Saccharomyces cerevisiae S288C: one gene and its partners. Changing the gene in region 1 together with any one later gene gives a genetic interaction. Each region holds a gene or a part of one and is shown in the gene's direction. Other genes may lie near its edges. The genes, in order: XRS2, YAP1, RLF2 and RTT107.

Evidence for each region.
Region 2: mutations in XRS2 (region 1) and YAP1 together harm fitness more than expected from each alone (negative genetic interaction), as found in Saccharomyces cerevisiae (3 studies listed by BioGRID, with this or other methods).
Region 3: mutations in XRS2 (region 1) and RLF2 together harm fitness more than expected from each alone (negative genetic interaction), as found in Saccharomyces cerevisiae (4 studies listed by BioGRID, with this or other methods).
Region 4: mutations in XRS2 (region 1) and RTT107 impair growth when combined (synthetic growth defect), as found in Saccharomyces cerevisiae (4 studies listed by BioGRID, with this or other methods).

What each region holds. Positions count from the first base shown.
Region 1 is NC_001136.10:1,213,889-1,219,752, reverse strand, and holds XRS2 (Xrs2p), read left to right. Parts: upstream 1-2,172; coding exon 2,173-4,737; downstream 4,738-5,864. Other genes in the region: CTS2 (putative chitinase), read right to left, coding at 1-340; DXO1 (Dxo1p), read left to right, coding at 643-1,971; trifunctional aldehyde reductase/carbonyl reductase (NADPH)/glucose 1-dehydrogenase (NADP(+)) YPR1, read right to left, coding at 4,911-5,849. UniProt on the Saccharomyces cerevisiae protein: Component of the MRN complex, which plays a central role in double-strand break (DSB) repair, DNA recombination, maintenance of telomere integrity and meiosis.
Region 2 is NC_001145.3:252,075-257,276, forward strand, and holds YAP1 (DNA-binding transcription factor YAP1), read left to right. Parts: upstream 1-1,773; coding exon 1,774-3,726; downstream 3,727-5,202. Other genes in the region: ERG6 (sterol 24-C-methyltransferase), read right to left, coding at 1-916; MIN4 (Min4p), read right to left, coding at 1,088-1,198; GIS4 (Gis4p), read right to left, coding at 4,018-5,202. UniProt on the Saccharomyces cerevisiae protein: Transcription activator involved in oxidative stress response and redox homeostasis.
Region 3 is NC_001148.4:592,135-597,211, forward strand, and holds RLF2 (Rlf2p), read left to right. Parts: upstream 1-2,341; coding exon 2,342-4,162; downstream 4,163-5,077. Other genes in the region: TIF6 (translation initiation factor 6), read right to left, coding at 198-935; guanine nucleotide exchange factor DSS4, read right to left, coding at 1,352-1,783; MCM DNA helicase complex subunit MCM4, read left to right, coding at 4,616-5,077.
Region 4 is NC_001140.6:400,569-407,009, forward strand, and holds RTT107 (Rtt107p), read left to right. Parts: upstream 1-2,397; coding exon 2,398-5,610; downstream 5,611-6,441. Other genes in the region: MTC6 (Mtc6p), read right to left, coding at 1-280; SPO12 (Spo12p), read left to right, coding at 866-1,387; SPO16 (Spo16p), read right to left, coding at 1,518-2,114. UniProt on the Saccharomyces cerevisiae protein: Required for resumption of chromosome replication after DNA damage, specifically in S phase. Is recruited to chromatin in the presence of RTT109 and RTT101 in response to stalled replication forks and acts as a scaffold during DNA repair.

The sequences.
Region 1 (5,864 bases):
TTCTAGAGTTTATTTTGAAAAATGCATAGTAAATGTGAGACACTTGCTTCAAGTTTATGTCGTGAGGGAAATGAAACCTCGGTTTGTATGGGGACCAATTGGAATAATAGACCCCTGATATAAAGGCTTCGTCTCTTATATGGGTTCCATGATTTTGGACATTACTGGGAACTCGATGTCCGCCATTGTTAAAGTTGTCTCTAATATCATCCGACCTTTGGTTCTTAAAAATTTTATTATATAAACACATTTCAATAATAATCGTTATAAAGATAAGTAGTATTAGTAGGTGAGACACTAAGCTGCTTTTTGATCTGTGCTGAGCTGAGTGTCCTACCATATGATCACTCTTGTATCGTCTACTTATAGAGGTTGTTAGTACCAACCTGCAAATACAATTGTTGGACCATACTACCACAAAAGGTTCTTTTCGTTGGTGTATCCTCACAAATAATGATTATTCCACCAAAATCACCAAATTATTGTGTCAAACTAACTGGGATTACCCCACTATTGATTTTTCCAGTTTTTCCGCAATTTTCGCAGCATGTTTTACTTTTATAATGGCATTGTTGCATTACAGCGCCAGTTGTAGGTATCGATGATTTTATGTCAAAGTTTTCTTTCTAGCCAAACTCAGTTATGTCAACTGAACAAGATGCTGTTCTTGGATTGGCCAAAGATTTAGAAGGTATAAATTTGCTTACTGTGCCCAATCTCGAGAGAGGACACCAAAGTAAATTATGCAAAGAGAAAACTACTTCTGATTCATCTTCGTCAAGGAAGCCTTCACAACAGAGAGACAATTATAGAAAGAGACGTCCGAAACTTATATGTATCCCATATACGTCTTTTCTGCATACTGGTATGCACAATTTTTTGACGAAACCACCAAGAGATATATTTCATGAAAGTAAAGAAGTAGCTCTGTTTACCAATGGCCGGGCTTATACAATCCTACGCAAAGACCTTATACCAAATTTGAAAGAAAGTATTGCTGAATTGTATGAAAGCTCGCTTCTTGAGGCAAAAAAGCGGAAAGTCCCGTATTTAGGCCATGACTTATTTGCTAATATTGATGAGTTCGTTCCCATGACAATATCCGAATTAGATAGTGTATCACCGTGTTTTTCATACATTGAGAACTGGATACTAGATAATCCTGGTAAGGATTTTAAGATCGGCAAGAAATTTACTGTTGTAACCACAAGACATCATATCGTAGATTTGACTATGCATCTCTTTAACAGGCGAAATAGACAAACGTCACTAATTGTAACTTATATGGGGGCGGGCCTTCTTTCATTTTGCAGAAATGTAAAAAAAGATTCTCAAATGTCCAAAGAGGGCATTTATTCAAATGATCCAAATATGAAGAAAATTTGCTATTCAGGATTTGAATTTGAAAATTGGGTAACCGAAAATTCCAAAGTCGCTGATTTAACTGGCTCTAAATGTCCTATTTTTTCTCTTGTAGAGAGTAAACTTTCAGAAGAAATTGGTCTTTTAATTCGCTGCGAAATGGATGCATTCAATCCTGTTTCGGAGACAAACACAGAACTAAAGTGTTTTGCCCCATTATCAATGCACAATTCCAATCATAGGAGAAAACTTCTGAAAACGTGGGTACAGACGGGTTTATTACCGAACTCAGATATCATGATAGGTTTGAGGGACAGTCATAGCGGTCAATTACTAGACATTCAATGGTACTCAAGGGACTTATTATGTAAGAAATTCAATCACCCAGGTCTACCTACAAATAAAAAGGAACTTAACTATAATGCCCAAATTGCGGTAGAATGGTGTCATTATTGTATTGAAGCAATTTGTAAGCTGGTGGAGGCAAATATCTCTGACTATAGCAGTACAAAACCAGAATCATTTGAAATCGGTATAGATACTAACAACGCCATCGTCATCACTAAACTTAAGACTACTCCAAGAAACGTAGAATTATTTGGAATGTAGAGACGTGTATAATATATAATACTTTTCCGAGAAATATTTCATTTTCATTTTCGTAAAGTTGTTAACTACGCTAAATATTAGTACTTTTCTTAAATTTATATGGGGAGCCCTTTTTTTCTATGAAAAGCAATGCGTAAACCAAATAAGCAGAATTTTGTAATAGATGAGCAACAATACTGAGAAGGTGATAACTATAAATTTATGTGGGTAGTACGATACCAGAATACATTGGAAGATGGCTCTATTAGCTTTATATCATGTTGTCTTCAGGCCTTCAAAACTTATAGTATAGGTAGATCAAGTAAAAACCCACTGATAATTAAAAATGATAAAAGTATTTCCAGACAGCATATCACATTCAAATGGGAAATCAATAATAGTTCGGATCTGAAACACAGTAGCCTGTGTTTAGTTAACAAGGGTAAATTGACATCATTAAATAAAAAATTCATGAAAGTTGGCGAAACATTTACTATTAATGCCTCGGACGTTTTAAAGTCCACAATAATTGAACTGGGTACAACTCCTATTCGTATAGAGTTCGAATGGATAAATGAAGTCTGGAACATTCCTCCTCATTTGACACAATTCAGGACGATGCTTTCTGAATATGGTATCTCCACTGAGATTTCTATTAATGATATTCCCGCTAATCTGATGATTAGCGATTACCCAAAGAGCGAGGACAACAGCATACGGGAATTGTATGCCCTTGTTAGTACTATACCCATGAAAAAATCACGGTTTCTGATGGAATTGTGTAATACTCTTCTTCCCACATCTAAAACTAATTTAAAATTTGATGAAATGTGGAACGATATGATTAGTAATCCGGAGTACAATGTTTTTGATTTTGATCCAAATATTTTGCTTTCGAAGTTTATGAGGCTGAATAATATCAGAGTGTTAACTACTATCAAAAGTGAACCACGTCTATCATCTCTCCTGCGGACGTTCAATATAAATTTATTTGCATTTGACAACATTGATAGTTTATATAAATATGTTGACAGCTTGGAAGCATCAACAGAATACCTGATTTTGACAACTACAGATAAGAAAGAAAATGGGAAAATTCTATGTACTATCAAAACGATGTTAACATCAATAATAGATGGCACCTTAAGCGCAGTGATTAATATGAAGGGTGCATCTTCAAGAACTCTAGATAACGGTAAATTTGATCAAATTTCTGAAGGAATGTCTACTATTTTGAAAACATCTCGTGCACCTGAAGTTGAAGCTAGTCCAGTAGTCTCGAAGAAGCGAAAATTAAATAGACGTAGAGTACTACCACTCGATAGTCTTGATTTTTTTGCTGGAGGTTTGAGTACTAAGACTCTATCAGAAAATAGGTCTTTAACTGACGCTAAGAGACTTAATTGTGGCGCAGAATCAAAGACTGTCATTTCAAGTCCCAACATTGCAGAGGCAGATGAAAAGCACGCCCCATTTCTTCAAAACGCACTAAAGCCGACTGAAGATATTGGAAAGAAAAGTGGTCACAGTAGCCCTGGTGCTATAATTGTCAGTAGCCCCAACTTAGGTACTGTGAACACGAGTGAGGATTCGTTGGATAAGTCGCTACAGTCACATAAGTTACCACAGCCGTCATTGCCGGAGGTAGCAGGGATTGGCTCTCAAACCATATCTTCGAACTCCGCTGACTATGAAACAGCTGCTGTGAATTCGATGGATGATGCTGAAGTTACTAAGAATTTTAGGGTGAATCATCACCAGAATATAGAGCAACCCTCTAAAAACATCCGTAAACTTTCTAATTATTCACGAGAAATTTCATCTCCATTACAAGAAAATTGTAAGTCACCTGTAAAAGAGTTATCTATTAAAGAGAAATCTGGTACGCCGCACGCATTTGTTGAAGCTATTCAAGAAACTAAAAATAGAGAGGTCAAAAGAGTTAAGTCAACCATTGTTGAATTGAAGGATGAGGAGTTGAGCGAGGAAGCTATTAATCAGCTAAAAAATTTGGCTATTGTAGAACCTAGTAACAATTTACTGAGGAAATCATTTGATAGTGAGGGAAACAAAACAAGCAGAACAACTGAAAAATGGGAAAATAGCCTAATGGAGCCAGAATGGCATAAACGCAAGAATTTCAAGACTTTTGTCAAGGTACGTCCAAAATCAAAGGCGCACAAAGAAGAGGGTAAAAATAACACTCAAAGCTCAGATTTTATACGAAATGCAGCCTTTTTAATCACTAGAAATTATGTTCCGTTAAAAAAATACTCCAAAAAGGATACAACTACAAAATGGGGCACAGAAGAAAACGAAGATATGTTTGCTTTGACGGAGATGGAAAGATTTGGATCGAATACATTTATGTCCGATAATATAAACTCAAACACTATCCAGAAAAGATCTCAAGCTCTAAACAGATTCACGAATGAGGATAGTTCAAATGAAGGAGAAGAAGATTCGTTTTCTTTTTCTCGTTGTTCAGGTACTGCAGCCAGCGTTCAACCACTAAAAAACAAAATTTTTATTACTGATGAAGATGATCTGGGTGATATTGATGATAAAAGCGATAGACTAAATCACAGAGAAAATAATCGTAATCTTTTTGTGGTGAAGGAAATGAACTTACGGCCAAACTTGTCAGAAGAATGTTCCAAGCAAAGTAGACACAGTAGAAGCGCAACTAGTAGATCACGTGGCTCTTTTGGGGCTTCTAATAACGGTGATGGCGACGACGACGATGACGACGGTCCGAAGTTTACGTTCAAAAGAAGAAAAGGATAATGATAAATTTTCCGAGTATTTCCAATTTCATTAAATTATATTTTGCATTATCATTCGATATATGTGTATATATTATATGAAAATTAGTAAAATCAATGTTTGTTTCAGCTGTATCGGATCGGTTTAAAGAAGCACTACAGGTTGCTGGAGGCATTAACTGTAATGTAGCGCGCTCATTGGAAAATTGGGAAGGATCCCCACTTCATATCAACGACTCTCTTTGTACCATGCACTTTGGATAGGTTACTAATAGTCTTGAAATCATCCTCAGGCAGAGTGAAAATCTTAAAATTGGATACAATTCTTTCAGGATTAACCGATTTGGCCAGAACAACGTAGCCTCTTTGAATACTCCAACTGATAATAAGCTGTGCTGGCTCAACGCCGTGCTTTTTAGCCATATCAATAATTGCTTGCTCTTTTAGTAAAGGAGCATTAGCACTCCCAAATGGTGAGTAGGCTTCAACAACAATACCCTTTTCCTTACAAAAGGCAATCAATTCGTCTTGTGGTAGCAATGGATGAATTTCAATTTGATTAGTAGCTGGTACCACCTTGTTATTTGGAGATTCTAATAATTCTTTAATGTTGTTAATAGAAAAATTAGAGACACCAACGGCTTTAGTTTTGCCCGTCTTTGGCAACTCTTGCATCAACTCCCACGTCTTGATAAAATTCCATTCCTTAGTATCGATGTCAACAGTGCCATCTTCTAATGTTGGAATGCACAGAACGTTACCATCAGTAACTCTGTCGGTTTTCAAAGGCACTGGCCAATGCATCAGATATAGGTCAACATAATCCAAGCCTAGTCTTTTCAAAGACTTGTTTAGAGCAGCTTCCGGATCACGTTGTTCCGTACCCCAAAGCTTAGTAGTAATAAAAATTTCCTCACGAGGGACTCCGGAATCTTTAATAGCCCTGCCAACTTCTTCTTCATTCAAATAGATAGCCGCAGCATCAATGTGTCTGTATCCAGCTTTCAAAGCTGCAATTACAGAATGGTAACCGTTATTGTCAACGGAACGCCAAGTGCCGAAACCCAACACTGGAATGGAGGCACCAGTATTTAGTTTTAATGTAGCAGAAGAATTCTTTAACGTAGCAGGCATGGTAGATTATTATCT
Region 2 (5,202 bases), on another chromosome or scaffold:
ATGTGGCCAAATTAGCTAAGTTTTGAACGTACTTCCACTCACCAGTTAATGGGTAATACCAAGGGATTTCATCATCATTGTCCGCCAGGTCTTCGCTAACGAGGACTTCGAAACCACAGTTCTTCAATGCTTTCCTAGCCACGTCGACATGGAACATCTTTGGGATACCATCACCTAGTTCAATTTCATAAGCGATCTTTCTATGTTCAGGATTGTTTTCGTCATATTTATCAGTCATTACCCATTCGTAAACAGCAAAGGTACCACCCGGTTTCAAAACCTTGTAGATTTCGCTGTATACACCTTCTAATTTTGGAGCGTGACATGTGGCCTCAATTGCATAAACTTTGTCGAAAGTGTTTTCTTCGAAATCCATTTTCATGAAATCACCCTTTACAAAGTCCATTTGGTCACTCAAATTGTATTTTTTAGCGTAATATTTTGCCTTGGCAATTTGGTAATCGTTATTGTTTAGACCGATGACGTTACAACCGGTAAATCTTGCAATCTCTCTTGCTGGGCCCCCAACACCACAACCAACGTCGAGAACTAAATCGCCTCTTTGAATACCAGCCTTGTAAGCTAAATAATGTTCATGTCTTGCTATCGAGGCAGCGAAACTCTCACCTTTATAAAATCTGCTGAAATGGAAAGAGGAACCCCAACCATATTCATAGAAATCTGTAACGACGTTATAGTAGGAATGTGTGGCTTCATTATAATCCTCAAGACGACGTTCTTCGGCATCTTTATCGGTTCTACCATCCCAATTTCTCAAGTACTTCTGAACGGCTTCCTTTTGGGCAGAGTTGTTCTTCGACATCAATGCACTCAAACCTGTCTTTTTACCAATATCATCACCATGTAACTCCCTAGTGAATTGGGCCTGTCTTTTTCTCAATTCTGTTTCACTCATCTTATGCTGCCTACTATATTATTATTTTATTCTTGTTTTTTTAAATTATGTAAAACTTAAATCGAAAGTAAAACAGATAAGGGAAACTTGAATGAAAATTAACAGCTTATAAATTACAAAGACGAATGGAAAGAAAAAGAGAGCAGCAGAGGATAGGAGAAAACACCCGAACTATATAAAAAGCAATGAAGAAGTTATCGGCAACAGCAAGTATTGGAGGTTTCTCACCAATCTTCGCATAAAACGCATGCTTCGTAAGGCGATAAAAATGAAGTGTACCATTGAGACGAAGTGGAGCAGTTTACAGTGAATAATACATTGTCTGCTCCTCACTTACTCTCGCTTCTCGAAAACTTTTTTGTATTTATCGGAAACGGCAGTAAACGACGCCAAAAATTGAAAATAAGTACGGGAACGAGGTACCATATACGAAGATCGGGGCTTTGTTCGGCCCTAAATTTTGCTGATCTTACCCTGTTGCATCTTTTCAAAAATAGTAACCAGCCCTAGCTGTTTGGTTGATTTGACCTAGGTTACTCTTTTCTTTTTCTGGGTGCGGGTAACAATTTGGGCCCCGCCAAAGCGCCGTCTTTGTCATGGGAACCGGAAACCCTCCGATGAAGAGTAGGAGGGTGGCAACTGATGGATGCGTAAGGTCTTAAGAGATACATTTGCTTAATAGTCTTCCGTTTACCGATTAAGCACAGTACCTTTACGTTATATATAGGATTGGTGTTTAGCTTTTTTTCCTGAGCCCCTGGTTGACTTGTGCATGAACACGAGCCATTTTTAGTTTGTTTAAGGGAAGTTTTTTGCCACCCAAAACGTTTAAAGAAGGAAAAGTTGTTTCTTAAACCATGAGTGTGTCTACCGCCAAGAGGTCGCTGGATGTCGTTTCTCCGGGTTCATTAGCGGAGTTTGAGGGTTCAAAATCTCGTCACGATGAAATAGAAAATGAACATAGACGTACTGGTACACGTGATGGCGAGGATAGCGAGCAACCGAAGAAGAAGGGTAGCAAAACTAGCAAAAAGCAAGATTTGGATCCTGAAACTAAGCAGAAGAGGACTGCCCAAAATCGGGCCGCTCAAAGAGCTTTTAGGGAACGTAAGGAGAGGAAGATGAAGGAATTGGAGAAGAAGGTACAAAGTTTAGAGAGTATTCAGCAGCAAAATGAAGTGGAAGCTACTTTTTTGAGGGACCAGTTAATCACTCTGGTGAATGAGTTAAAAAAATATAGACCAGAGACAAGAAATGACTCAAAAGTGCTGGAATATTTAGCAAGGCGAGATCCTAATTTGCATTTTTCAAAAAATAACGTTAACCACAGCAATAGCGAGCCAATTGACACACCCAATGATGACATACAAGAAAATGTTAAACAAAAGATGAATTTCACGTTTCAATATCCGCTTGATAACGACAACGACAACGACAACAGTAAAAATGTGGGGAAACAATTACCTTCACCAAATGATCCAAGTCATTCGGCTCCTATGCCTATAAATCAGACACAAAAGAAATTAAGTGACGCTACAGATTCCTCCAGCGCTACTTTGGATTCCCTTTCAAATAGTAACGATGTTCTTAATAACACACCAAACTCCTCCACTTCGATGGATTGGTTAGATAATGTAATATATACTAACAGGTTTGTGTCAGGTGATGATGGCAGCAATAGTAAAACTAAGAATTTAGACAGTAATATGTTTTCTAATGACTTTAATTTTGAAAACCAATTTGATGAACAAGTTTCGGAGTTTTGTTCGAAAATGAACCAGGTATGTGGAACAAGGCAATGTCCCATTCCCAAGAAACCCATCTCGGCTCTTGATAAAGAAGTTTTCGCGTCATCTTCTATACTAAGTTCAAATTCTCCTGCTTTAACAAATACTTGGGAATCACATTCTAATATTACAGATAATACTCCTGCTAATGTCATTGCTACTGATGCTACTAAATATGAAAATTCCTTCTCCGGTTTTGGCCGACTTGGTTTCGATATGAGTGCCAATCATTACGTCGTGAATGATAATAGCACTGGTAGCACTGATAGCACTGGTAGCACTGGCAATAAGAACAAAAAGAACAATAATAATAGCGATGATGTACTCCCATTCATATCCGAGTCACCGTTTGATATGAACCAAGTTACTAATTTTTTTAGTCCGGGATCTACCGGCATCGGCAATAATGCTGCCTCTAACACCAATCCCAGCCTACTGCAAAGCAGCAAAGAGGATATACCTTTTATCAACGCAAATCTGGCTTTCCCAGACGACAATTCAACTAATATTCAATTACAACCTTTCTCTGAATCTCAATCTCAAAATAAGTTTGACTACGACATGTTTTTTAGAGATTCATCGAAGGAAGGTAACAATTTATTTGGAGAGTTTTTAGAGGATGACGATGATGACAAAAAAGCCGCTAATATGTCAGACGATGAGTCAAGTTTAATCAAGAACCAGTTAATTAACGAAGAACCAGAGCTTCCGAAACAATATCTACAATCGGTACCAGGAAATGAAAGCGAAATCTCACAAAAAAATGGCAGTAGTTTACAGAATGCTGACAAAATCAATAATGGCAATGATAACGATAATGATAATGATGTCGTTCCATCTAAGGAAGGCTCTTTACTAAGGTGTTCGGAAATTTGGGATAGAATAACAACACATCCGAAATACTCAGATATTGATGTCGATGGTTTATGTTCCGAGCTAATGGCAAAGGCAAAATGTTCAGAAAGAGGGGTTGTCATCAATGCAGAAGACGTTCAATTAGCTTTGAATAAGCATATGAACTAAAGCGGGAACTTTATGGAAAACTGGGTAACCGAAAGAACTTTTTCTATAATGTTACAATTAAACTTTTTTAACTTACCTTGCTTCGCCTTTTCGCCGAAAGTAGGTAGATTGTATCACCTCGGTATTTTTTTATGTACACAACCTATACTTTAAATATATTTAGACTATGTATGAATTCTCTGTATCACCTTCAATGTCAATATAGAAACTGGTAAGTGCAATAGTACCAATAATGATTATAATTATAATACAAGTATATATATATATCTATATATAGTGGTAAAGTATTCTTTACATGATGGCACAACGCTGAGATTTATCCGTACCTGCAGAACCACTGTTTTTATGATTCTTAAACCTATTCATCTGGAATTTCCAACGCTTTCTATCCTTGTTAGTGGCATGAGTAGGGTTATCTATGCCGCTTAAAGACTTTAGTAATGTAGGTAAAGGCAAACTTTTGGACCTTTCCACGGCACTCATAGCATTGATGGAACTCTTTATCTTTTTCAACTCATTTTTGGAATTACTTTCATTGTTACCCTTGGAATTAGGTTTGTGAGAATTTTTTGTCTTCAAAGAATGGCTAAAATTCGAGGAAGTCGTATTAGAGTTCGACAGTTGTGTCATTGGATGAGGTTCACTTGATAAAACTGTACTTTCACCTGTTTTAGAGTTATCCAACTCGTTACTATTACTTTTATCGATTTTTGTAACAGAATTATGTCTATTGAATGCCCATTCCCCGATACTGTTTACGGTTCTAATAGAACGATGTGCTGTAGTAACGTTAGATTCCATTCTAGTTGGTATGTACATTTGTGGGCCTGACTGTTCTGATAAAGAAGCATCGTCACCATCGTCTTCATCGTCTTCATCGTCAATATAGTCGTTGTAACCGTTATTATATGCAGTCGGGAAATATTGTTGCGGGTCGTTAGTTAATGATAACTCAGAATCTAGAGGTTGCTCTTTTGATATTCCTTCCCTATTATCATAATTGGGATTTTTGAATTCTTCTTCAACCTGTTTGCCGGAGTTTGTCACAATAACCATTGTGTAAAATAAAATTTTTGGAAATGATCTCTTGATATCTAGCAAATCTTGAAGTGTTAGAATTTGTAAATTATTCATTGAAAAATTGGAATCATACAGCAACCAATCATCGGTAACGCTTGCCATTGTAGGTTTATTGTTTGACTGTCTAATCGCAGTAAAAATTTCTTTGGTGTCTGGATCCTGAATTAATATAGATTGCAAAACTAGCCTAAAATACCCTAGAGAATCACAAATTGAGATTGACGGTAGAATGGATAGTACTGAGTAATCGGAAGAAGAAAGATCTTCATCATCATAAACCTCTTCTCCATCGTCCTCTCCTGATCCATACCCTTGGGCGTCATAGTTATGATGAATTAAATTATCCTCCTCCTCTGGGGTTGTCGAAGTAGTTAAATTGTCTATAGAACTCGTTAT
Region 3 (5,077 bases), on another chromosome or scaffold:
AAAAAAAAATAAAAGAGTACATAATATACATACAACTAAAATTAAAATGCATAGAAACCTAAGAAAAAATATTTGTTATACCAAAAAAAATACCACAAATGATACGTAAGAAGATTATTGCAACATGGGGACTCTTTCGCATACAACTGTAAACAGACTTGAGGAAGGAGGGGAATCCCCTCAGGAGTACCTGACATCTATGAGTAGGTTTCAATCAAAGTATCACGTAGGTTACCTGAAATGGATTCTGGTTGGGCATCTTGCAAGCGGAAAATACTTTCAATAACACTCAATTCTGGGGCTGTAGTATCCAGACCTGTAACTGCCAAGTAATCGTTCACAACCATACCGGCACCGACAACTGAACTACCACGGTTAACGGTACCAGCCACCAAAGGAACTTGTAATAAGGAGGACAATTCTTCTTGATCTTGGACACTTGTTTGTGGATGCACTAACCCACCTTGATTACTTAAAGAACAATATGACCCAACTAAGATATTACCTGATATGGTTTGACGGAAGACCTCAACGCCTAGTACATCACTTATCAATTCTTCAGTTTCTCTGTCGATATCTGGATGCACTAAAGCAACGTAATCATTACAACAGATGACGTTACCCAAGGCAGATAGTCTTTCCTCTACCCTTTGAATCTTAACGGAATCCGGCAAACTATTTCTTAAATGTTGTAATTCTTGATCAGTAGTTTGGGTTGGAACTAGCAGACCTCTACGGTTACCCGCGGTCATTCTACCGATGATACGCGTACCAGCAATAGTGGTATGAACGATGGGAATAGCATCTCCTAATTCAGCTTCAAATGCAGAGTAAAAGTTTTCAGAACCACCAACAGCAACCAAACAGTAAGTATTCGTTAATTTGGAGAATACACCGATTTCATTGGAGTTTTCAAATTGAGTCCTGGTAGCCATTATTGTTTTCTAGAGTTAGTTGAATTATGCTCTTGTTCCAAATACTCTGTCGTATTGCTTCTTGTAATTATACTATAAGACCAACGAGGGATGAGGCTTCTTTTAATTATGCAATATTGAATATTGCGTTACATACAGTAAAAGAAAAAATCTGCACAAAGGAATATGGGTTTAAATCTTTAATTAATAAAAATTTTCCGAAAATTTTCGTTTGGCCCTCGGAAAAAACGGGTAATGCTCATCCATTAGGATTTCGTCCAGAATGCCTATATTATTACATAAAGTGATGCTAGTAATGTAAACCAGAACTACTTCTATAGCTTGTTATAGGTGGCCCATGCCAGTGAAATAGGTGGTTGGTTACTCTTTTTTTTTTCTGGTGGCGGCAACCTATTTTTGTTCTAGTGCCTACCAAACTAATTCCTTCCCATAATTTGAAGGCTTCGCAAGCTTAGTAGATGCAAAACTCTTTCTTCATTCTTTGTCTGATCTTGCACCTTACATATTATTCCAATAGGACCTTTATCACAATCAGCGCATATCAAATATTTCAAGCACTTTTTAATCTTCCAGCTGGAATTACCATACTCAAAGACAAAATCACTCTTATCACTCAAATCCCCTAATATAGAAGAAGGAATTTCTCTAGATACACCAACATTATCAAAGTCCCAAACATCAGGGACGACCAAGAAGTTGCTCTCGCTGGGGGTAGCATCTCGCATAGTTCTGTTTTCCAGCAACTTGAATTCGCTGTGCACCTGCTCTGGTAAGTTTATTATGTTATCATCGTTGATGGTAATAACTGCACTATGACAGCCCTCAAAGGAACACGTAGCCTTGCTCATGTTCTCTGTTATTCCCCCATTTTTCCAGCCCTTTTAATTGAACTTTCTACTCATACCAGTCAAGTTTTTGATATGTACTTCATTAATTAAAATGATCGATATATAATCGTTCAGTACGACAATGACGATATTCACAGTACTACTAAACTAGCGGGTCCCCGGCGCCCAGTCAGCCTTTACGAAGAGAAAGGAAGAATGATATGGATATGCTGAAAAGTATTTTGATACAGAAGAAGGGAGTTTTGAGTTGTCGGGCTCATCGTGCTGGATCAAGTGGTTCCCTACCTGGCGCGATCTATAGTGTCAGACGGCTTGCATATATGCTCACGCGTTCGGACGCGTGAAAGGCTTCAACTGAAAAAAAGAAAGATCTACATCGTTAAACCAAAAGGTTTGCGAACTGACTAAAAAATAAAATTCTTATTGGTTCCACTTCTTGAAATACATCATTTTTCCAGCCAATTCGTTGAGGAGAAGAACATTCTGTTATTGCTGTTACAGAGAATTATATGTTTTAGTGAACCTCAAGACAGAAGAGAATCGAAAGGAAAAGGGAAAATGGAGCAACATCTCAAATCAATTCCTCTACAGGACGACACTAAGAAAAAAGGCATACTATCTTTTTTCCAGAATACAACTACGGTAAAGAGTAATAAGTTTCTCACGAAAGAGAAGGATGTCATCACTCTAGATGATCCTAAAGAGGATGTCAGTGGACCTATGATAGAAACTGTTAAACAAGAAACCATGAAAAGCATCAATAAAGAGTGTGCAGATGAAATGAAAACGACACCTAAGAAGGCCAATGCTGAAGACAAGCTTTTATGCTACAAAAATTCACCCATACAAAGTACAAAATACGATAGAAACACCAACAAACAAGTACCCAATGGAAATATAATAGCTATCGAGACAAAAAGCAGAAGCTCTTCTCCATGCTCTAAGAGAGAACTTTCCTCATCGAAAAAGGAAGAAGCTAAAAGAGAAAAGGAACTAAAAAAGCAGCAACGTGCAGAAGAGAAACACAGAAAAGAGTTATTACGACAAGAAGAGAAAAAGAAAAAAGAGCTAAAGGTAGAAGAGGAAAGACAAAGGCGTGCTGAGCTGAAAAAGCAAAAGGAAGAGGAAAAGCGTAGAAAGGAAGAAGCCAGATTAGAAGCCAAAAGAAGAAAAGAGGAGGAAAGATTGAAAAAGGAGGAGGAAATACGTTTGAAAGAAGAAGCCAAGGAAAGAGCACAATCCCGTATTGGTAACTTCTTTAAAAAACTAAGCGATTCTAATACGCCTGTGGTTGAAAAGTCGGATTATGAAAAATTTTTTCTACCTTTCTATGCTAAAGATGGAGTTAGAGTCAGTAATAAGTGGAAACTAACAAAAGTGGAGCTGGAAGGTAGCAAAAGAAAAATAGATGATGAATTACTGAACAGTAAAGATAAAACAAGTAGTGACGACTTATTGAATTGGTTACAGTCTAGAAGATTACCTAGAGGACATAAAATTAAACGTAAAGCTGTTGACGTTCTACAGCAAATGCCTTTGAAGGAGAAAACAGACGATGAGCTCCAATCTTTACTTGCACAAGTTCCGCACAAATATATAAAATTCTACGAAAATGTTAGACCTCCGTTTATCGGAACCTATTCTATGGACTTTACTTTGCCACCAAACGATCCCTTTTCTACGAAAGGTACTGGATTCAATTATGATTACGATTCTGACGTTGAATGGGTTAATGAAGAAGAAGAAGGCGAAGTCGATAACTTAGAAAGTGGTGAAGAGGAGGAGGAGGAGGAAGATGATGAAGACGTACCTAGCGAAGGAGAGTTTGACGGGTTTCTAGACAGCGAAGAAAACAGTGATTTGGATGGCCTACCCTGCGCCAAGAGAAAATTTGTAGGCCCATTGATACCAACAATATGCCTAAAATCCAATTTTGAAAACTTATCAGAGGAAAATAAACGATACTTACAACAACTCAAGGCCGAAGTTATCATAGAAACCGACGGGCCAATCGATCCATTCAAAGAACCCAAAACATCGTCTCTACCATCCAAAAGAAGTAATTCCGACTTACAGGCACAGACCGCTAGCCAATCTCAAAGTCCCGAAAAGAAACAAAAAGCAATGATTACAGACCCCATGGACTTACTTCGACTTTTTGATGGGGTTCAAGACAGCACGTTTTCTTTGGGTACTGTGACTGAAATAGCACAGAAAAATTTGCCGCAATACAACAAACAAACAATTAAAAACACCATAAAGGAATATGCCATAAGAAGTTCTGGAAAGGGTGATTTGCCCCGCAAATGGGTAATCAAAGACGCACAAAACTGGGAGAATCTTCGAGCCAATGCAAATATGCCAACCCCGTCTTTGTAACTTGAACGGATCTTTAGTATATAGAAACATACAGATAAACTGATTATTTATTGGTATACATGAAAAAGGCGACAACACTACGATCGACAGTCAAGCCTTTTGGACTTTGAATAAAATCCAGCACTTCTCGCATGCAACAAAAGAAAATCTTCTATATAAGCTGAACTACATTTATCTGTGTCAGCCAACTGCATGTTTTATATCACTTCTTTTTGGAATATTACGAGTAGATTCATGAAAACGCAAACACTTGGTTTACTCTTTCGGGAAATTTAATGCTAGTTCGCCGCCTCGAAAATGAAAAGAGAAGAAGAGACCAGAAGAGCAACTTCGCATTGGCACTGTTTATTTCTTTAAGAACATCTTCAATACTAAATAAGACAACCCATCTTCAGTTATTTTTACTCTTGGTAGAGCCCAACTTAGGATCCTTTTGAACCTCAAGAACTTAAAATGTCTCAACAGTCTAGCTCTCCAACAAAAGAGGATAATAACTCCAGCTCCCCCGTTGTGCCTAATCCTGATTCTGTTCCACCACAGCTTTCTTCCCCAGCTCTATTTTATAGCTCCTCTTCATCACAAGGTGATATCTATGGTCGCAACAATAGCCAGAACTTAAGTCAGGGAGAGGGAAACATCAGAGCTGCTATAGGTTCTTCTCCACTAAATTTTCCATCTTCTTCCCAAAGACAAAATTCCGATGTTTTCCAATCTCAAGGCAGACAGGGCAGAATTCGTTCTTCTGCGAGCGCTTCTGGAAGGTCTAGATATCATTCTGATCTGAGAAGTGATAGAGCACTGCCTACTTCTTCCTCTTCTTTAGGCCGTAATGGTCAAAACCGTGTACACATGCGAAGAAATGATATTCATACATCTGATTTATCCTCTCCAAGAAGAATTGTGGATTTTGATACT
Region 4 (6,441 bases), on another chromosome or scaffold:
GTAATCTTGTATTATTACCTTCATTTACCATGCTAGTCTCATTGTTCAACAGAACCCGTCGTAGATTCAAACCAACATACGGCAGCTGGTCTATAGTTAAGTTTCCCATGACATCTCTTTGGGACCTAAAGGCCACCGTCATTTGAGGGGACATCGTCGGCCAGACAGATGCTGAAACGGTCTCATTCAGATCATCGCCAACTGTCGTAGTAGAGTCAACAGCAGTAACCCACGTTCGCAGTGAGGACCATATGATAAATAGGTATATGAGTATCCACATACCGTGTCTATAACGATGCGAATGCAAATGAACAAAAGAAAAAGGGAAGAATAGAATGGAGATAGTCTTTGAAAAAGCGAGGTTAAAAGCGACTAAAAAATACCAGCAAAAAGGTGACAAATAAAGTTAAACAGGGTGTATCTCACCGTGCAGCGAACACTTCAATGTGACTTGCTCAGCCAAAGACTCATCAACATTTATGGAAATTTCAATGATTCCCATTGTATTGCCTCTTCCCATTGTGGAAAAAAGAAAAATGCCAAAATTGCAAACCCTAATTTAAAAGGGTTACAGAAAAAAAAAAGCAGGTCTGAAATGCAGTTCGCCATGGTTAATATCTTTTCCTAATTTGGAAATATGTAAACAGGGCATCTTTCCTTTTTTTCTCCTAATGAAAATTGTAAGCAAAAGCATGAAACAATACTGCCACAAGAGGAGAATTCCTCCTTTTGAAGTCTAAAGCGCCATTTCAAACTAGTTTTTAGGAGGTCAGCCAAACGTTCATTCAGATTAGTTACTATCTTGGAATACTTCTAGTAGGAAAACAAAATAACATATACAGTAAGAACAATAGAAAACGTATTTATGTCCAACAAGGCAAGTGACCAATCAGCACGCACGGCTTCCATCCTCAAGACTGATATTACCAGAGAAAACACAATCACCAGAAGCAGCAGCAGCAACAACGACAACTACCATCACCACAATAACATCAATAATTACAATGAATCGGCGAAGACAGGAGAGGACGCCAATAAAGAGAATATACCTAATTTAGAGGAGGAGATTGCGGCCTTTCGAATTTTTAGGAAAAAAAGCACTTCAAACTTGAAGTCGTCACACACCACTAGCAATTTGGTAAAAAAGACAATGTTCAAAAGGGATCTTTTAAAACAGGATCCGAAGAGGAAACTCCAACTACAACAAAGATTTGCATCACCGACTGACAGGCTGGTATCACCATGCTCATTGAAATTGAATGAGCACAAAGTTAAGATGTTCGGAAAGAAAAAGAAAGTCAATCCTATGAAACTGAACTTTAAAGGCAACCTTGCTGCCGATTCAGAGGATGTAGAAATCGATGAAGATGAGGAGTATTTCTACTAAAAAAATCTGCCTTTCTAGTCATCCAAAAATAGCCAAATGCTACACTAAACCAATAAGCAAACGAGTACATAAAGAATAAGTAAATAATAATTCAACAATACCTGATTTTTTTTTTCTTACATTTTTTTTATTATTCATTAAAAGCAACCACCAAGCTTTCCAAATTATGAAACCTTGATAAAATGGCTTCAAAATCTTGATCTGGAATTCCGTTTTTTTTGAAGAGGTCGAAAATTATTTGCTTGATTAGAATTTCAAAATCAATAAACTCGTCCATATCCACGCTGTTCCGTGTCAAACGCTGGTTAGCTTTAAAAGCTAGAAAATATTGATTGTTTTCAACATATCGACTTCTGTCTACTGGTGTAACCTCTGTAATAAAGTAGCGGGCACCCGTTTTCGATGGTCCATTTATTAGATCTAGTGACCTCTCCAATAAGATATCCCAATAAGCTATTGAGAATTTCAAGCGCGTGAAATTCAAATTTATCATCAGAGAACGATGTGCGGGAACTCCAGGGCTTTTCTGTATTTTCTCATAGACATTATTTATCAGTAATTGCAGCTGTGTAACAATAAAATTGACGCCACTTTCTTCGTCTTGTAGCTCCTCGTTAAGCTGCGAAATTAACCTGCTCGTATTCACAGTAACACACTTAACCACAGAATGTTCTTCGACATTAGAAATCTCTTGTATTTTTTGTACATCCCAAAAGAATTCAGACATTTCTATTGAACCATTCCAGAAATGTTGTTCCAGAAGTTTATTCTCTTGAACCTTTACACTATTTCGTATTTTCTCGGTTTTAGCCGCCCACTTTTCACGCGTTAACAGGGTAAGCTATATCAGATGTGACTTTTCTTTTTCACTCATCTAATGTTGTTTTTCGCGTCACATTTTTTGCCAATAAATAAATACATCACAATGTTCTATATTGTATATTCAATGGAAGTCATTAGGTTATTGGGCAAGATTTCAAGGAGGTAGCATACTGGTAAATATACGATCCATGAGCACATCACTTCTGTTTGAGCAGCTAAATTTTTTAATTTTAGTGGCAGCAGAGGCTGAGCTTCCCATCGCTCACTCTACTAGAAAGCTTTTGATGGATAATTCATGCAATAACTGTCAAATATACGAGCTTTATAACGAAAATTTGAAAGATGTCAAGACGGATAAAGATTGGTTCATGAACAAATTCGGCCCGCAAACAGTACATTTTGTCATTAGTAATACAATCAACTTTCCTTTTTATAAGATAGTTTATTTCGATCTTTTGATCCCGGTGGTATCACACACTTGGGTCCAGGATTCGGTCAAGACGAAGAGACATTTGAGGACAAATATGTATTCACCTAACCCATTTCATTTGCTCCGAGACTGTCAAGTATATATTTCCAAAAGCTCGTTTAATAAGTGTGAATACATATTATACTCTGATTTGCTTCATTTATTAGGAGGCACTTTAGTCAATTACATCTCAAATAGAACGACGCATGTGATTGTTCAAAGTCCCCAGGACCCGATCATAGCAACGGTCAGTAAATTGACATTTGGCTCTTTTTCCTCTTCATCGACCAACAAGCACACCGAAAAGCCTTTGAGAGAGTGGAAATTTGTCTATCCAATATGGATATTATATCATTTCAAAATGGCGAAGCCCTTGAAGGGCGAGCTTGCTACTTTGTGTGAGCTTGATATGCAGGACACCAGTGAGGAACAGTTATTCGCAAAATGGGAAGAGGTTATTGGCGATAAGCAGACATCATCATCGCAGCTTACTCTTCATCCAAACAAAACTTTATTCAAAAATCACCACTTTGCTATCTCACCAGATTTAAACTTTTTCACACCTTTGTATTGGTTTTTGAAAGGATTTATCGAGGATTTGGACGGCAAAGTAACTCCGTTGAGTTTTTCTGACGATCTGAAGTCTGTTTACCAAGCTTTTCCTGATATTGACTGTTATATCGGCCACTCTGCTAACTCACCGATACTAGAAAAAACCAAAAGCATTAAACCGGAAATTCATGTTGGGAACGTAAGTTGGTTGTTTTATATGTTTGCGCTGCAAAAATTTACACCTGTATCGCAATGTAAACTTATTCACCAACCATTTCATGCGAAATTATTTACTTCTAAGGAATTAACAGTCGCGTACACTAATTATTTCGGCTCCCAAAGGTTTTATATTCAGAGGTTAGTAGAAATATTAGGAGGACTTAGCACACCTGAACTAACAAGAAAAAACACACACTTGATCACGAAGAGTACAATTGGCAAAAAATTCAAAGTCGCAAAAAAATGGTCACTGGACCCGCAAAATGCCATTATTGTGACAAATCATATGTGGTTAGAGCAATGTTATATGAATAATTCCAAGTTAAACCCCAAAGACAGTAGATTTCAAAATTTTAAATTGGATGATAACATGGGATGGAATATCGGCCAAATAGGAATGGATCATTCATCTCTCCCAACTCCAAAAAACCTATCGATGGTGACTTACGACACGCAATCCATATCAGAGAAGCCGCCTCCCACAAATGATCAAATGGATCAAATTAACGATAACACCAATGTATTATCAAAGAAAGATGGTACGCCCATTAGTAGTTTTGAGAACTCAATTGATGAAAAGATTGACAAATTACAAAAAATATCAGGAGAGGTGGCTGTAACCCATTCTGGAGATTTAGAACGGAGTTTTGTTTCCAGACCTTCAAGGGCAAGTTTTCCAGTAGTTGACAGTAAAAAATCTAATTTACAAAAGAAAGACTCAAACTCAGATATTAGTATGGAAACAGAGGTTTTCTGTGAAGGACATGAAAAAAGAGAAGAAAAGGAGTTTACGAAACCTATTACGGAGTATGATGCACCTAAGAAACAAGAAATAAGGGAACAGTCACGCAAGAAGAATGACATAGATTATAAAAAAGAAGAGGAAGAAACGGAGCTGCAAGTTCAGCTAGGACAACGAACTAAACGAGAGATCAAAACTTCGAAGAAAAATGAAAAGGAGAAAGAAACCAATGAATGTCACATTGAAGTAGATCAAATGACGAATGAAAAGCAAGGGGAGGAAAGTACAGGAAAACTGATTTCTACGGAAGACGTCACTTCTAAAAAAGATACAGATAAATTCTCGCATTTGTTTGAAGGATTATCTGATAATGATGATCACATTAATGACGAAAAACCGGCAGTTAATTCCAAATATACCACACCCAAGACGTCTCAAAATATTACGAGTGGCGTTGATACTCCAACCACCGCGCAAACGCAAGTTTTTATGCCATCAAGTGGCAATTCAAGGTTAGCAAAGACACAAGCTGCGAAGAGATTGCATACAGATATTGAATCATTAAATGAATTTCAGAAAAACTTTAAAAGGAAGAGAATTGATAGCGAGGAGATTTCATTGTCCCAAGATGTTGAAAGGTCAAATAATAACAAAGAACTGGCTACTAAAGCGGAAAAGATATTAGCTAGATTTAATGAACTACCAAATTATGACCTAAAAGCGGTTTGCACCGGTTGTTTCCATGATGGATTTAATGAGGTTGACATCGAAATATTGAACCAACTAGGTATAAAAATTTTTGACAATATTAAAGAAACGGATAAATTGAATTGTATTTTTGCTCCAAAGATTTTGAGAACCGAGAAATTTTTAAAAAGCTTAAGTTTTGAACCGTTAAAATTCGCATTGAAACCTGAATTTATTATTGATTTACTGAAACAAATTCATTCTAAAAAAGATAAACTTTCTCAAATAAATATAAACTTGTTTGATTATGAGATAAATGGAATTAATGAGAGTATAATATCAAAAACCAAACTACCTACTAAGGTGTTCGAAAGAGCGAATATTAGATGCATTAACTTAGTCAATGATATACCGGGTGGTGTAGATACAATAGGCTCTGTTCTAAAGGCACATGGTATCGAAAAAATCAACGTTTTACGTAGTAAGAAATGCACATTTGAAGACATAATCCCAAATGACGTTTCTAAGCAGGAAAACGGAGGCATTTTTAAATACGTACTTATCGTCACCAAAGCTTCACAGGTTAAAAAATTTACCAAACTGATTAATGATCGTGATAAAAACGAAACAATTTTGATTGTTGAATGGAATTGGTGTGTTGAATCAATTTTTCATCTCAATGTTGATTTTACATCAAAGAAAAATGTTTTGTATCAAAAGAAAAATAACTAAAAATGGACACTATATATTACGTCATCTGACATACGACACTGATAACAAATAAATATATAATAATTATAAAGATGCGTTGTAGAAAATCTTATGTTCAACAAACAACCCACATATGATTAACAGACCATTTTAAATGTCTAGTTAGAAACAATTATTTGGTACTGTCTTTGAATTAGATTGTTTAATAAAGCATTTCTAATATAGGATACAAAGGGTCAAATAGTACCGTGAGTAGAATCATTTATTCCACACTTTATCCGCAAACCTTTTAATTTTTCTACAATTTCATGGATAAAAACAGATTCATGGCCAGAATGCGTAAAGCAACTCTATTGTACAATTTTCCACTCTGAGATATTCACACAGCGGAGAGCCCTTCTACTCAATGCGTCAAGAACAATGTTCCAAACCTAGTGTATTTTAGGTATATTATTACGAGAGTATCCGCAATGTTAATGACGCAAAATTTAATGGCTCAAGCCAACTACTAACGTTAGTAAGAACTTTTTGATCTAATAATTAAACAGGTTACATCCATAGATTTACGTCAGAAATCTTAAATAATGTTTACATGCGAACAGTACCAAGATACATATATGTGGAGCGGATGAGAGATAAAATTGGGTTAAATGGGAAACATTACGGTATGATGCATAATTTTGAGTTTGGGCTTATTATCCTCGTGCGTATTGTATCGTCTCAATATGAGTGAAGATAAATCACCTATTACCCGAACTTTGAAGAGAACACTCTGAAAATTTGGTGAATAAGAAAGGGCTGTAGGTATTATTCGCGAAGCTTTCATTTATTGTAGTGAAAACTAGGGTGACA